Linked DNA regions of Macaca mulatta. The protein of the gene in region 3 purifies or fractionates together with the protein of the main gene of each other region. This does not show direct contact. Links are inferred from orthologs where the notes say so. Each region holds a gene or a part of one and is shown on either strand. Other genes may lie near its edges.

What was found. The genes of interacting proteins can lie anywhere in the genome.
Region 1: the proteins of HDAC4 (region 3) and PPP2R1A purify together in Homo sapiens (affinity purification with mass spectrometry; 3 studies listed by BioGRID, with this or other methods). This does not show direct contact. The link is inferred for Macaca mulatta from reciprocal best matches to the Homo sapiens genes HDAC4 and PPP2R1A.
Region 2: the proteins of HDAC4 (region 3) and TBL1XR1 purify together in Homo sapiens (affinity purification with mass spectrometry; 3 studies listed by BioGRID and IntAct, with this or other methods). This does not show direct contact. The link is inferred for Macaca mulatta from reciprocal best matches to the Homo sapiens genes HDAC4 and TBL1XR1.

What each region holds. Positions count from the first base shown.
Region 1 is NC_133424.1:64,420,250-64,423,772, reverse strand, and holds the end of PPP2R1A (serine/threonine-protein phosphatase 2A 65 kDa regulatory subunit A alpha isoform), read right to left. Parts: intron 1,242-3,523; coding exon 1,150-1,241; intron 982-1,149; coding exon 965-981; 3' UTR 524-964; downstream 1-523. UniProt on the Homo sapiens protein: The PR65 subunit of protein phosphatase 2A serves as a scaffolding molecule to coordinate the assembly of the catalytic subunit and a variable regulatory B subunit.
Region 2 is NC_133407.1:88,995,762-88,999,328, reverse strand, and holds part of TBL1XR1 (F-box-like/WD repeat-containing protein TBL1XR1), read left to right. Parts: intron 1-2,972; coding exon 2,973-3,074; intron 3,075-3,567. UniProt on the Homo sapiens protein: F-box-like protein involved in the recruitment of the ubiquitin/19S proteasome complex to nuclear receptor-regulated transcription units. Plays an essential role in transcription activation mediated by nuclear receptors.
Region 3 is NC_133417.1:144,295,711-144,299,091, forward strand, and holds the end of HDAC4 (histone deacetylase 4), read right to left. Parts: intron 2,669-3,381; coding exon 2,584-2,668; intron 1,461-2,583; coding exon 1,319-1,460; intron 982-1,318; coding exon 942-981; 3' UTR 534-941; downstream 1-533. UniProt on the Homo sapiens protein: Responsible for the deacetylation of lysine residues on the N-terminal part of the core histones (H2A, H2B, H3 and H4).

The DNA of each region.
Region 1 (3,523 bases), on a different chromosome or scaffold from region 3:
ACACAGGAAATGGCCCACAGGGGGTTCTCTGGCAATGTACAGCTAACTCTGCTTCCCATGTTGTGTACTTCTCATGTTGAAACTGTTACACACTTACCAGGTACTAATTCACTTGGTCCTCGCCACCCACCCTGCAATCTAGGTACTAATGTCACTCTCATTTTACACAATACAAAACTGAGCTCATAAAGACTTAACAAGCTACTCCTAGTCACACGTCTATTAACTGAAGGAGCCAAAATTTGGACCCAGGTAGTCTGGTTCCAAGGCACCTGCTCTTAACCCCCAAAATACTCGGCCAACATCTATGAAACTGAACTGCACTACAGGACAGCAGCCAGAGCACCTCGTGGACCCTCTGCTCCACAGGCCAGCAGCACTCCTGGGGGGATCCCCAGAGAATTCTCTTGGGACATAGGGGTATAATGGGTCCTGTAACAAGATCTTCTCCAGAGAAAAGGGCAGATGTTATGACTCTGGGGTGGTGTCCCCTCCTCCATGCTGATGACTAAGGCCAGAGGACTGACTACTTCTAGACCTTTATTTCTCTGTGAAAAGGGGGAAAATAAAAGGAATAAAATAAAAATGGCACAGTTGACACACACAAAAAAAACCAATGAGGGGAAGGACGGGAGGTGGAGAAGTAAATGGGGGAGGGGTTCCCATTACAGCAGCAGGATCCAGTGACCCGGGATGCTCACATCTCTCCCCGACGTGGGCAGAGTAGCCCCTTTCTCCCAGGGTCGCTGTCCTGTCCAACCCCGTGCTCCCCCAGCCCACTGGGAAGTGGACAGTGAGACATCTTCCCAGGCTGGGGAGAGGAGGAACCGTACTGGGGGAAGGGGCCTGGGGTCAGACCATGCACAGGGAGTGACAGCCAAAGGCCCCCCAGTGTCTCTCCAAAGAGGGACTTGTGGGGGTTGGAGGTGGACACTAGAGGCCAGTGTTTGCTCCTCTTCCAGCATCAGGCGAGAGACAGAACTAGGAAAACAGGAACAGGCAAGAATCAGAACCACAGCCCTCTCTCTGCCCACAATGCCATGGTACCTCCCCCTCCCAGAAGCTGCGACCTTGTTCTCAAAGGACAGCCTAGCACCTGTCCTCAAAAGTCCACCCTCCTGCTAGGGCTCCCTGCTTTCTAGGTCTTACCAGTCAGAGCCTCCTGGGCAAAGTATTTGACGTCCACATCCTGGTCCTGGGTCAGCTTCTCTAGGATGGGCTTGACTTCACTCTGCAGGGTGCTGGAAAGCGAAAAGGAGACAGGGAAAGGGAGCGTACTGGGGCAACAGGTGGGCACAGGGCTCTTGAGCAAGAGGGTATACACAGACATGGATACACCAAACCCAAGGTGGGAGGAGTCTCAAGAATCCAGGACATACACAGGAATGAGAAATCTCCGCTCAATGCACAGGAAGGTGACCATAGTTAACAATAATATTTTGCATATTTCAAAACAGCTATAAGAGAAGATTTTGAATGTTCTCATTACAAAGAAATGGTAAACATTTAAGGTGATAGATATGCTAATTATCCTAATTTGATCATTACACATTTGCACACATTATCAAAACACTACTATACCCCCATAAATATGTATAATTATGTGTATATTAAAAGTAAAATCAGGCCTGGCATGGTGGCTCACATCTGTAATCCCAGCACTTTGGGAGCCCAAGGTGGGTGGATCATCTGAGGTCGGGAGTTTGAGACCAGCCTGGCCAACATGGAAAAACCCTGTCTCTACTAAAAATACAAAATTAGTAGGGTGTGGTGGTGCACGCCTGTGATCCTAGCTACTTGGGAGACTGAGGCAGGAGAATTGCTGGAACCTGGGAGGTGGAGGTTGTGGTGAGCCAAGATTGCGTCATTGCATTCCAACCTGGGCAACAAGAGTGAAACTCCGTCTCAAAAAAAAAAAAAAAAAAAGTAAAATCAAGGCCAGGCGCGGTGGCTCATGCCTGCAATCCTAGCACTTTGGGAGGCCAAGGTGGGCAGACCACTTGAGGCCAGGAGTTCAAGACCAGCCTAGACAACATGGCAAAACCCCCGTCTCTACTGAAAGTACAAAAATTAGCCAAGCATGGTGGTGCACACCTGTAATCCCAGCAACTTAAGAGGCTGAGACACAAAAACTGCCTGAACCCAGGAGGCAGACGTTGCAGTGAGCCGAGATTGCACCACTGCACTCCAGCCTGGGCGACAGAGCGAGATTCTGTCTCAAAGGAAAACCAAACAAACTGCAAAAAAACCAACCAACCAACCAACCAATTACTTTAAAAGTCAGAAGTATGACAAACAACAACAGACTTCTCTGGGGCCCCAAACAGGGAGATCAGAGCAGGCTGGGAAAGTAGAACAGAATCACAGAACTCCCAAGTCTCTGAGGCCCAACAAATGGGTATCTTTCATTGATTTCACACATATTCACTGAGGCCTACAATGTATATGGAATGAATACGGAGCTAAATCACTCTTGTTTCTTGCCATGAGGCATCCGGGCCAGGAGCAAGACAGAGACCAAACTGCTACGTAAGAAGGGAGTGGTAAGTGGTCCCAAGGGAAAGTTCCTGGTCCTCCAGGAGCCCAGAGGAGGCAACCACTCTCATCTATGGGGCCCAGGGAACTCCGCCTGCACCGAGTCAATTGTTTTGGGAAATGGAGGAGGACTTCGGAGAGAAACTAAAGCTGAGGTTGTGTCCTGGAACAGATTCAGACAGAAATCAAAAGTGCAGGCTTTGTGGGTCCCCCACTTTCACTTGACAGCTCCCTGTTCTCCCCAAATAACCACTATTCTTACTTCCATCATCTCGATTCTTTCATTCTGCCTGTTTCTGAACTTGACATAAATGGTGTGTTTTCTTGAGTTTGGCTCCTCACTCAACATGGTATCTGTGAGAGCCACCTGTGTTGCCGCCTACAGCAGGCATTTGATTTTTCACTGCTGAATAGTTTTCCACTGTATGAATGAACTAAAATTTATCTGCTCTACTGTGGGCAGACATGGAGGTTTTTTCTGTTTTTATGGCTACTATGAATAAAGCTACCATGAACATTCTTCGGACAGAAACAGCACTCATTTCTCCTGGATAGAGACCCAGGAGTGGAAGGGCTGTTTCACAGGGTGTTTGTATAACAAGCTTCACCAAATTCCACTCCAGTTCCACTCCCGTTTTCAGAGTGATCAAACCCTAAATACACAGCCTCACGTGCAACGGATGAGAGTTCCAGCTCTATGTCTTCAACATTTGCACCATTGAGTCTTTTTTAATATTGGCTGTTCTGGGAGGTGTGTAGTGATATGTCACTGAGCTTTAATTTGCACTTTCCTGAAGGCTGATGATGCTGAACACCTTGTCATATGCTTACAAGCTATGTGGAGATCCTTTTTCAAGTGCCCATTCAAGTCTTTTTTCCCATCTCTTTCTTGCCCTGCCTGATTTGTAGACAAGTATTGTGGATGAGTCCTTTCTCAGAAACATACATTGCAGACATCTTCCTCCAGTCAAGGGCTTGCATTTTACTC
Region 2 (3,567 bases), on a different chromosome or scaffold from region 3:
TTGCCCAGTCTGGCCTCAACCCCCTAGGCTCAAGGAAGCCACCTGCCTTGACCTTCCAAAGTAATCCTGGGATTACAGGCATGAGGCACCATGCGCAGATCATGTGGAAGTTTTTAATGTTAATGTTTAGATGCTATTTATCTTTATCTTTTTAAAATTAATTATTTTTAGAGATGGGGGTCTTGCTGTGTTACCCAGGCTGGACTCCTGAGCTCAAGAGATCTTTCACCTCACCATCCTGTGTCTACTGGGTCTGCAGGCATATGCCTTGTGCCTGGCTGGATCTTTCTTTTTTAATGGCTTTTTTTTTTTTTTAATAGCTTAATTCATTTTTCCTTAGAGATATCACTGAGGCCTGATATTTTTTCATGAAGTATCTAAGTTTTATTCCTTTACATTAATGTTTTTAGCCCCTTTGGAACTGATTTTTATATATCGTGTGAGGTACAGATATTTCCATTTGGGCAGTCAGTTGTCTTAGAACCATTCATTGTCCCCTTTCTGTTTTCATAATGCCACTTATTTCATACACCCAGTTCATGTATATGCGATTTGTTTATACCTTCTTTGTTATTCCATTTGTATATTTGCCTTATCTGAATCAATAGCACAGTTTTAACAATTCTCACTTTATAAATCCCTCTTGTTATTGTTCTTCAAAATTTTTTCTGTTCTTGCCACTTTAGTCATCCGTATTTCCAAAACAGCATACAATTTTGGGTTTTGTTTATAAGTGCCTTGAATTTATAGGTGAAATTAGGGAAAATTGTTACTGAGTTTTATCACCCATAAATATGTTATACCTCCGTTTATTTGTCTTTTATTCCTTCAGTGAAGTTTTATAATTTCTCTGAGGATCTTTTTTTCCTAATGTGTTTTGAGGTACCTTATGGTTTTTATGTTACTGTGAATGACCTCTTTTAAAAAATATATTCCTTTTATATAATAGGTGTTGCTCACATTTAGAACATTTTCAGTGAACTCATTTAGTCCGTTGTGACAAAATCAATTTTAATGAAATTTGGGCATAGAACTGTAGAGTGCTGATGGAACATACAACAAGACATTTAAGGGCATTTGACCAACTGTTGATACTATTTTGTTTTCACTATTGTGTACCAAAAGTCTTACTTTTTCAAAGTTTGAAAATAGTAAAATAGTGGATTTTCAGTGCAGGAGAAAGTTATTATCCTATTGTTATATATACATCTAGGTTTTTTGTTTTCCCCTTTCTTGCATGATGAATTGCCTAAGCATTTGATGAGTAAATTTTAGAAGTCTTGTGCCAGTATACATACAAATTTGAGGTAGATGCCGACGATCCAAGCCATTGGCCTTTTTAAATGTCTTAGCTCTGCCTTGTTGACCATAATGTTTTGGTTCATTATAGCCCAGTTCAAGCTTAGAGATTGGTAAGTGCTTTTAAAAGAAAGTTGTTTGTTTTTTTCATCTCAAGTTGACTGTAGATTGAATGTCTGTAGGTTGACTATAGATTTTATTTTTTTTTATACCTCAGCAAACTTTAGATTTTGTTGTTTCTACTTTTTTCTCTTCTCATTAACGTAGATATTTAAAGCCTGCTATACTTGAACTTAATCTCATAAATTATGAGAAATTTTAAGTAAACAAAGCAGTTGAGCCTTCCCAGCCTGATAATCGGTAGCAATGTGTCAGTACCAGTGCATCTGTGATTCTGTGATTTGTGCCACGTTACCAGGCTAAATTTGAAGAGGAAAACTCGGTCAAACATTCTTCCAGCTTAGTTGTCATCTTGGATAGGCTGAATGGGAGATATTTGCAAGGTGCATGATTTGTTGCCATGTTGTTTTACGTAGATCTGCCACCTCTAGCTTGACTTCAGGTTACCATAAAGCTGCAGAGGTCACTTTTCTGATTTGTCGGGGCAGAACACCTGAAGCACATTTTTGAGTTTTCACAACAGGACCTCTGATCTTTGTCCTGCTATGTTGACTGGTTTCATAGAAGAATATGTTTTTGTACTGAGTTTTAATTCTTCAGTGGCAGCTGAATAATAAAATAACTTTGTTACATTTATGATTCAGCTTAATTAATGATGACATTGTTAGTATTCCTGCCTGTGTTTTTTGTTTAAACTTATAACATCTTTCAAGAATAGTGTACATATCTGGCTGGGAACTGTGGTGCATGCTTATAATCCCAACATTTTGGGAGGCTTGGGTGGGTGAATTGCTTGAGGACAAGAGTTCAAGACCAGCCTGGGCAACACGGTCAGACCTTGTCTCTACAAATAATTTTTTTAAAATCAGCTGGGCATGGTGGCATGCACCTGTAATCCTAGCTACTCAGGAGGTGGAAGCGGGAAGATCACTCTAGCCCAGGAGTTAGAAGGTGCGATGAGCTATGATTGCACAACTGCATCCAGCCTGCGTAACAGAACAAGACTCTGTCCAAAAAAATAAAAAAGGAATGTACATACATTATTTTAGCTTTTTTTATAATCCCCTAGCTTAGGAACTGGTCAGTAAATATAGAGTGAATAACAGAGTTACACTGGAATTATCTTTATTAGTTTGTTATACTTCCTCTTTAAGAAGTTCTGTCAAAGAAATTCTGAATTTATTTTGTTTCTTTACATGTTAGCTAGACTCATGCGTCATTTAGCAACAACAAAAACTTATTTGATAGACTGAATGTTTACTTCTAGCTATTGTTGGCTATGTCAAAGAGACCAGATACCTTAGCCAAGAATGGTTATCAACACTGGAGAAACTGAATATGTGTGTGAGTAATCTTTTGAGAACAGGCTGGTATCATCTTTTTATAAAGGGATCGTATTACAGTTCTAGAATTTCAGAACTTATTTTGTATAGTTGAAGCTAAGTCCCTCCTTTGATTGCTAGAAATAAGGCCATGTAATATTTTTATTTCAGCATTTGGATTTATTATAATATGTATTATGATTTTTAAGATTTTGTTTTTCATTCTTTTAGACAGGTGCTCTAGTTCACAGCTATAGGGGAACAGGTGGAATTTTTGAAGTTTGCTGGAATGCAGCAGGAGACAAAGTTGGAGCCAGTGCATCAGATGGTTCAGTAAGTATAGTAAAGTGTTTCCAAAGAGGGTGTGGGTGGGTATTCACATCAGAATGCAGCTTATTGTTAGTGATACCAAAGTTGTTTTTTTTTTTTTTTTCTCAAAATAAATTTTAAGATATGATACTGATTTTTTTTTTTCCTGAGGCTGTAAACTTCTCATGTGCGTTGGATTTAAATAGTGTAAACCAAATTTAGGCTGTCCTTACCAAAAGAGTACCTTATAATCTAGAAATGGACAGTTATTTTTAATGTGAACCTTCATTTATGAAATTAGGTATACCAGAGTAACATTCTGAGAAGGATTGAAATTTTTAATGTGTATTTCTACCTTCTCCTCTTCACAGAAGAGTTTTTTTTTTTTAGCTCAGGGAAGGCAGAACTAGAGGTGGTTCCTGTGTTGAGGAATGTGTGATACTGGAAGATTTTCAGAATGAGGTTGGCCAAGTCTTTACAACAATGCAAATATGGCTTCCAAAGCTGTAGAAGTAAC
Region 3 (3,381 bases):
GCCACTTTTTTGGAACTACCTCCATTTTTCTTAAACAGCGATAAAGCAAAACAGGGACCGCCGGGCTGCAGCCCCTGGCCCCGGAGATGACGGCTGGTACCCGTGCTTGGGGCGTCAGGCCAGCTCGCGGTGCCAGCACTGCCAGACTCGGCTGGCCACAGGAAACTGTCCCACCAATTCCTGCTGTTTGTTTTTTCTTAAGGCATTGTTCCTCAGACTTCAGAAAACCCAGCCACAAAAATCCACCAGAGCAATAAAAAAAAGGCACAAACTCGCATCTTCCGATGGCTTTGAGAAACTCAAGCCAGCTCCCCCAGGCTCACATTCCTGTTTCTGTCCAGTTTTGTTTTCTTTAAAGGTCACTCCATCCCCCACCCGGGTGCAGACCCCCCACCGCACACCGCTATGGTTCACAGAGGCAGGCCACAGCCGTAGAAAACGTCCTCTTTAAAAAAAAATAAGCTACAAGATGAGTCGAGTGGTTTACACACAGACTGTGGAGTTGTGGGTAATAATCAAACTTTAAGCACCAGTTTTAATCAAGTTTGTTTTGTATTATTAGATCTTTGATATTCGTTTTCTGTGCCTCGTGTCAACTGAATTCGGCAGCTCGGCCGCCTGTTGCCACAGGCTTCTTTCCTCCACGGCGCCCCTCGCGGGACCCACCAGAGTGTGCTTGGCTTGCGCGTGTCCGTGTGTCTGCGCGTCGCCGGCGTCTGTCCCGTGTTCCCTGTGAGGCTGCCACACCCAGGTGTGCATGTGCGTCTTGAGACCTGTGGGCCTGGGTGGCAGAAAGGCTTCCCGTGGCTGTTGTGCGCCGGGTGTCCCTGGACGCTCCAAGAGAGCCCCACGGTGGGACGCAGGCGTGACACGGGGAAGTTTCTTGGCTGAGCTTCAAGACAGAGACAGACAGACAAGAGAACAGCAGCTGCGAGGGAGTGCTACAGGGGTGGCTCCTCTTCCATGGGCTCCTCGTCTGCTCTGTGGATCCCGCAAGAGAAAGAGACAGGGCATGGGGCAGGTGGACCACAGAGAGGAGAGAACAGAATGTGGGTTAAAGGCTGTGCGCTGCCCCACCCGCCAGCCTACCCAGGCCCGGGGGCACCGGGTCCATCTGTTCAGTATCTAACGCTCCTCATGCGTCTCTAAGGGGCTTTGGCACTAGAAGGAGGGGGCCCCGCTGGCCTGTCTCTAGTCTGTTTGGCATGGCACATGCCATAAATGTTCTGACCCTGAACAGAGTGTCCCTGGACACAGTGGGGCTGGGTGAGCCTGCAGGTGGGCAGCAGGGCAGGTGGCCGGCAGGGCAGGTGCTCACCTCTTTTCGGCGGGCTTCACGCCCACGGACAGCGAGGCCATGGCGGTGACCGTCTCGGCTTCTTCGTTCTCGCAGGTCTGAGCCTCGATCAGAGAACGCCCTGCCGTGGAGGTTGCACGCTGCAGGCAGCGCCAGTACTTGCCTGGGGTGGGGTGAGGAAGGTCGCTCAGTGACTACACCTTAGCAGGATGCACGGCGGCCCGGGAGGGTCCTGCGGGACCCTGAGCCTCAAACGAGATTGATCCCTTATGATTTTAAAAGCACCCGTCTTTGAAGAGACGCGAAGCAGAGGACTGCATGGCTACAAGCTCGCGAAGACCGAGAATCTCTGGAAATGTTTCCCCATCGTGAGTGGCTCGAGTCCCTCCAGGAGCAGCTAGGACTGCAGACAGAGGCTCCTGTGGGCCTGGCTTTCCACGCTCCTTTCTGCCCTGGGAGCTCAGGAGTGGGGGCTGCCAGCCTGCTGGGTTGAGCCTTCCTATCTCTGGGAGAAGATGAGCTGGTGGATTGTTGCTGGGGCTGAGGGATCTTCTGCCTGGGCCCTCACAGAGGCTGGGGGTGGAGGGGTCCTGCATCAGGTACAAGCGGGTGTATGTGGAAGGCTGGGCCTGGCCCAGGGTCAGCTTCAGGGCTCTAAGGCCAGGACTCCCCCACACAGGGAAATGGAGAGTCAAGCTCTGGACTACACCTGCTTGTGTAGACAGTCAATCATCTGGGTCATCTCAAAGGCAAGACAAGCTGGGCTTGCAACAATGACAGGGTGTGGGAGGTGCCTCTGAGACAGGCTGCATGCCACGCCCTTGCACCCAGGACCCACTCCTTGAGGGTCGGTGCCAGAACGCGGAGGGCCTACATCCTGCCTCTTTGCAGGGCCAAAGGTTTGATCTAAGGACGTGGGCTTCTCTGGTCCAGGGAAGAGGCCGGAGTCCCCAGGGTACAGGTTCATAGCCATGGCTCCCACTGCTAGCTGGGGACCTAGAGCAAGTGACTTCACACTGAGACTGTCTGGGCCTTGATTCTCTAGACCTACAAAATGGGCTGATGGAACCATCCCAGTAGGCCGGCGAAAATCCAGTGGGAGTTAAATGTGAGTCTCTACTAGCTCAAGAAATGCAGCTGAAAGCAAGGCCTCCTGCTGCAGGCCTGGGGAAGCAGCTGGCAGTGGGATAGAGAAGAGCTGGGGGTATAGGGGGACAGGGATGTGGGGCAGTGGGGTCCCGCCACCAGGAGCGTGTCCCCTGTGAGCACCCGGCCAGGCAACTTACTGTGGATTTCCATGACTTTCTCCATGGAGCGGACAGCGTTTGCATTGGGTCTTTGCTGTAAAACCTTTTCTGGGAGAGGATCAAGCTGGAAGAAAATACGTAAGAATATAAAGACTGCCAATATAATCCACACGTACATTAGATGGGGTGTACCGAGACTGCAACTGTTTCCTGAGCACAGAGTCCCTTGTGGGGTGCATTTGCCCATAGAGTAGAAAAAAATAACTTTAAAAAGTCAAATGTGCTGTGGCATTTATTATATAACTTTTTTGTAAAAGTGGATTTATGTAGGCATTTTTTTAGGGCACTATAAGGTATATTTGTGGGTTCCTACAAGTAGCAGGAAGAAAGACGGCCCCCAGGAATGGGCTGGCACCAGCATGTGAGCTTGGTATCCACCATCGATGCCACAGGGTTACATTAGGGGGAGGGATGCTTACTTCATCATTTTCCTTTTCCTTGTCTTTCATTAATAAATAAAAATGTTTGAATATCCCCTGATCTTGGTTTTCTTTCAGGGCAGTGGAAGGTGGGGTTGGGGGAGATGAAATGGAAGAAGAAGTCAGATCTCTCAGAGGGAATCCTGCACACCAAGTTTTTCCCTAAGTACTGGCAGCAGATAAAAGCAGGGAAGAAGTTTATAGGTAAATGACAGGGCAACAGGGCAAAGCATTTGCAATACAACAATTAAAAATGGTTGACTGGCCAGGTGCAGTGGCTCATGCCTGTAATCCCAGTACTTTGGGAGGCCAAGGCAGGTGGATCACTTGAGGTCAGGAGTTCCATACCAGCCTGGGC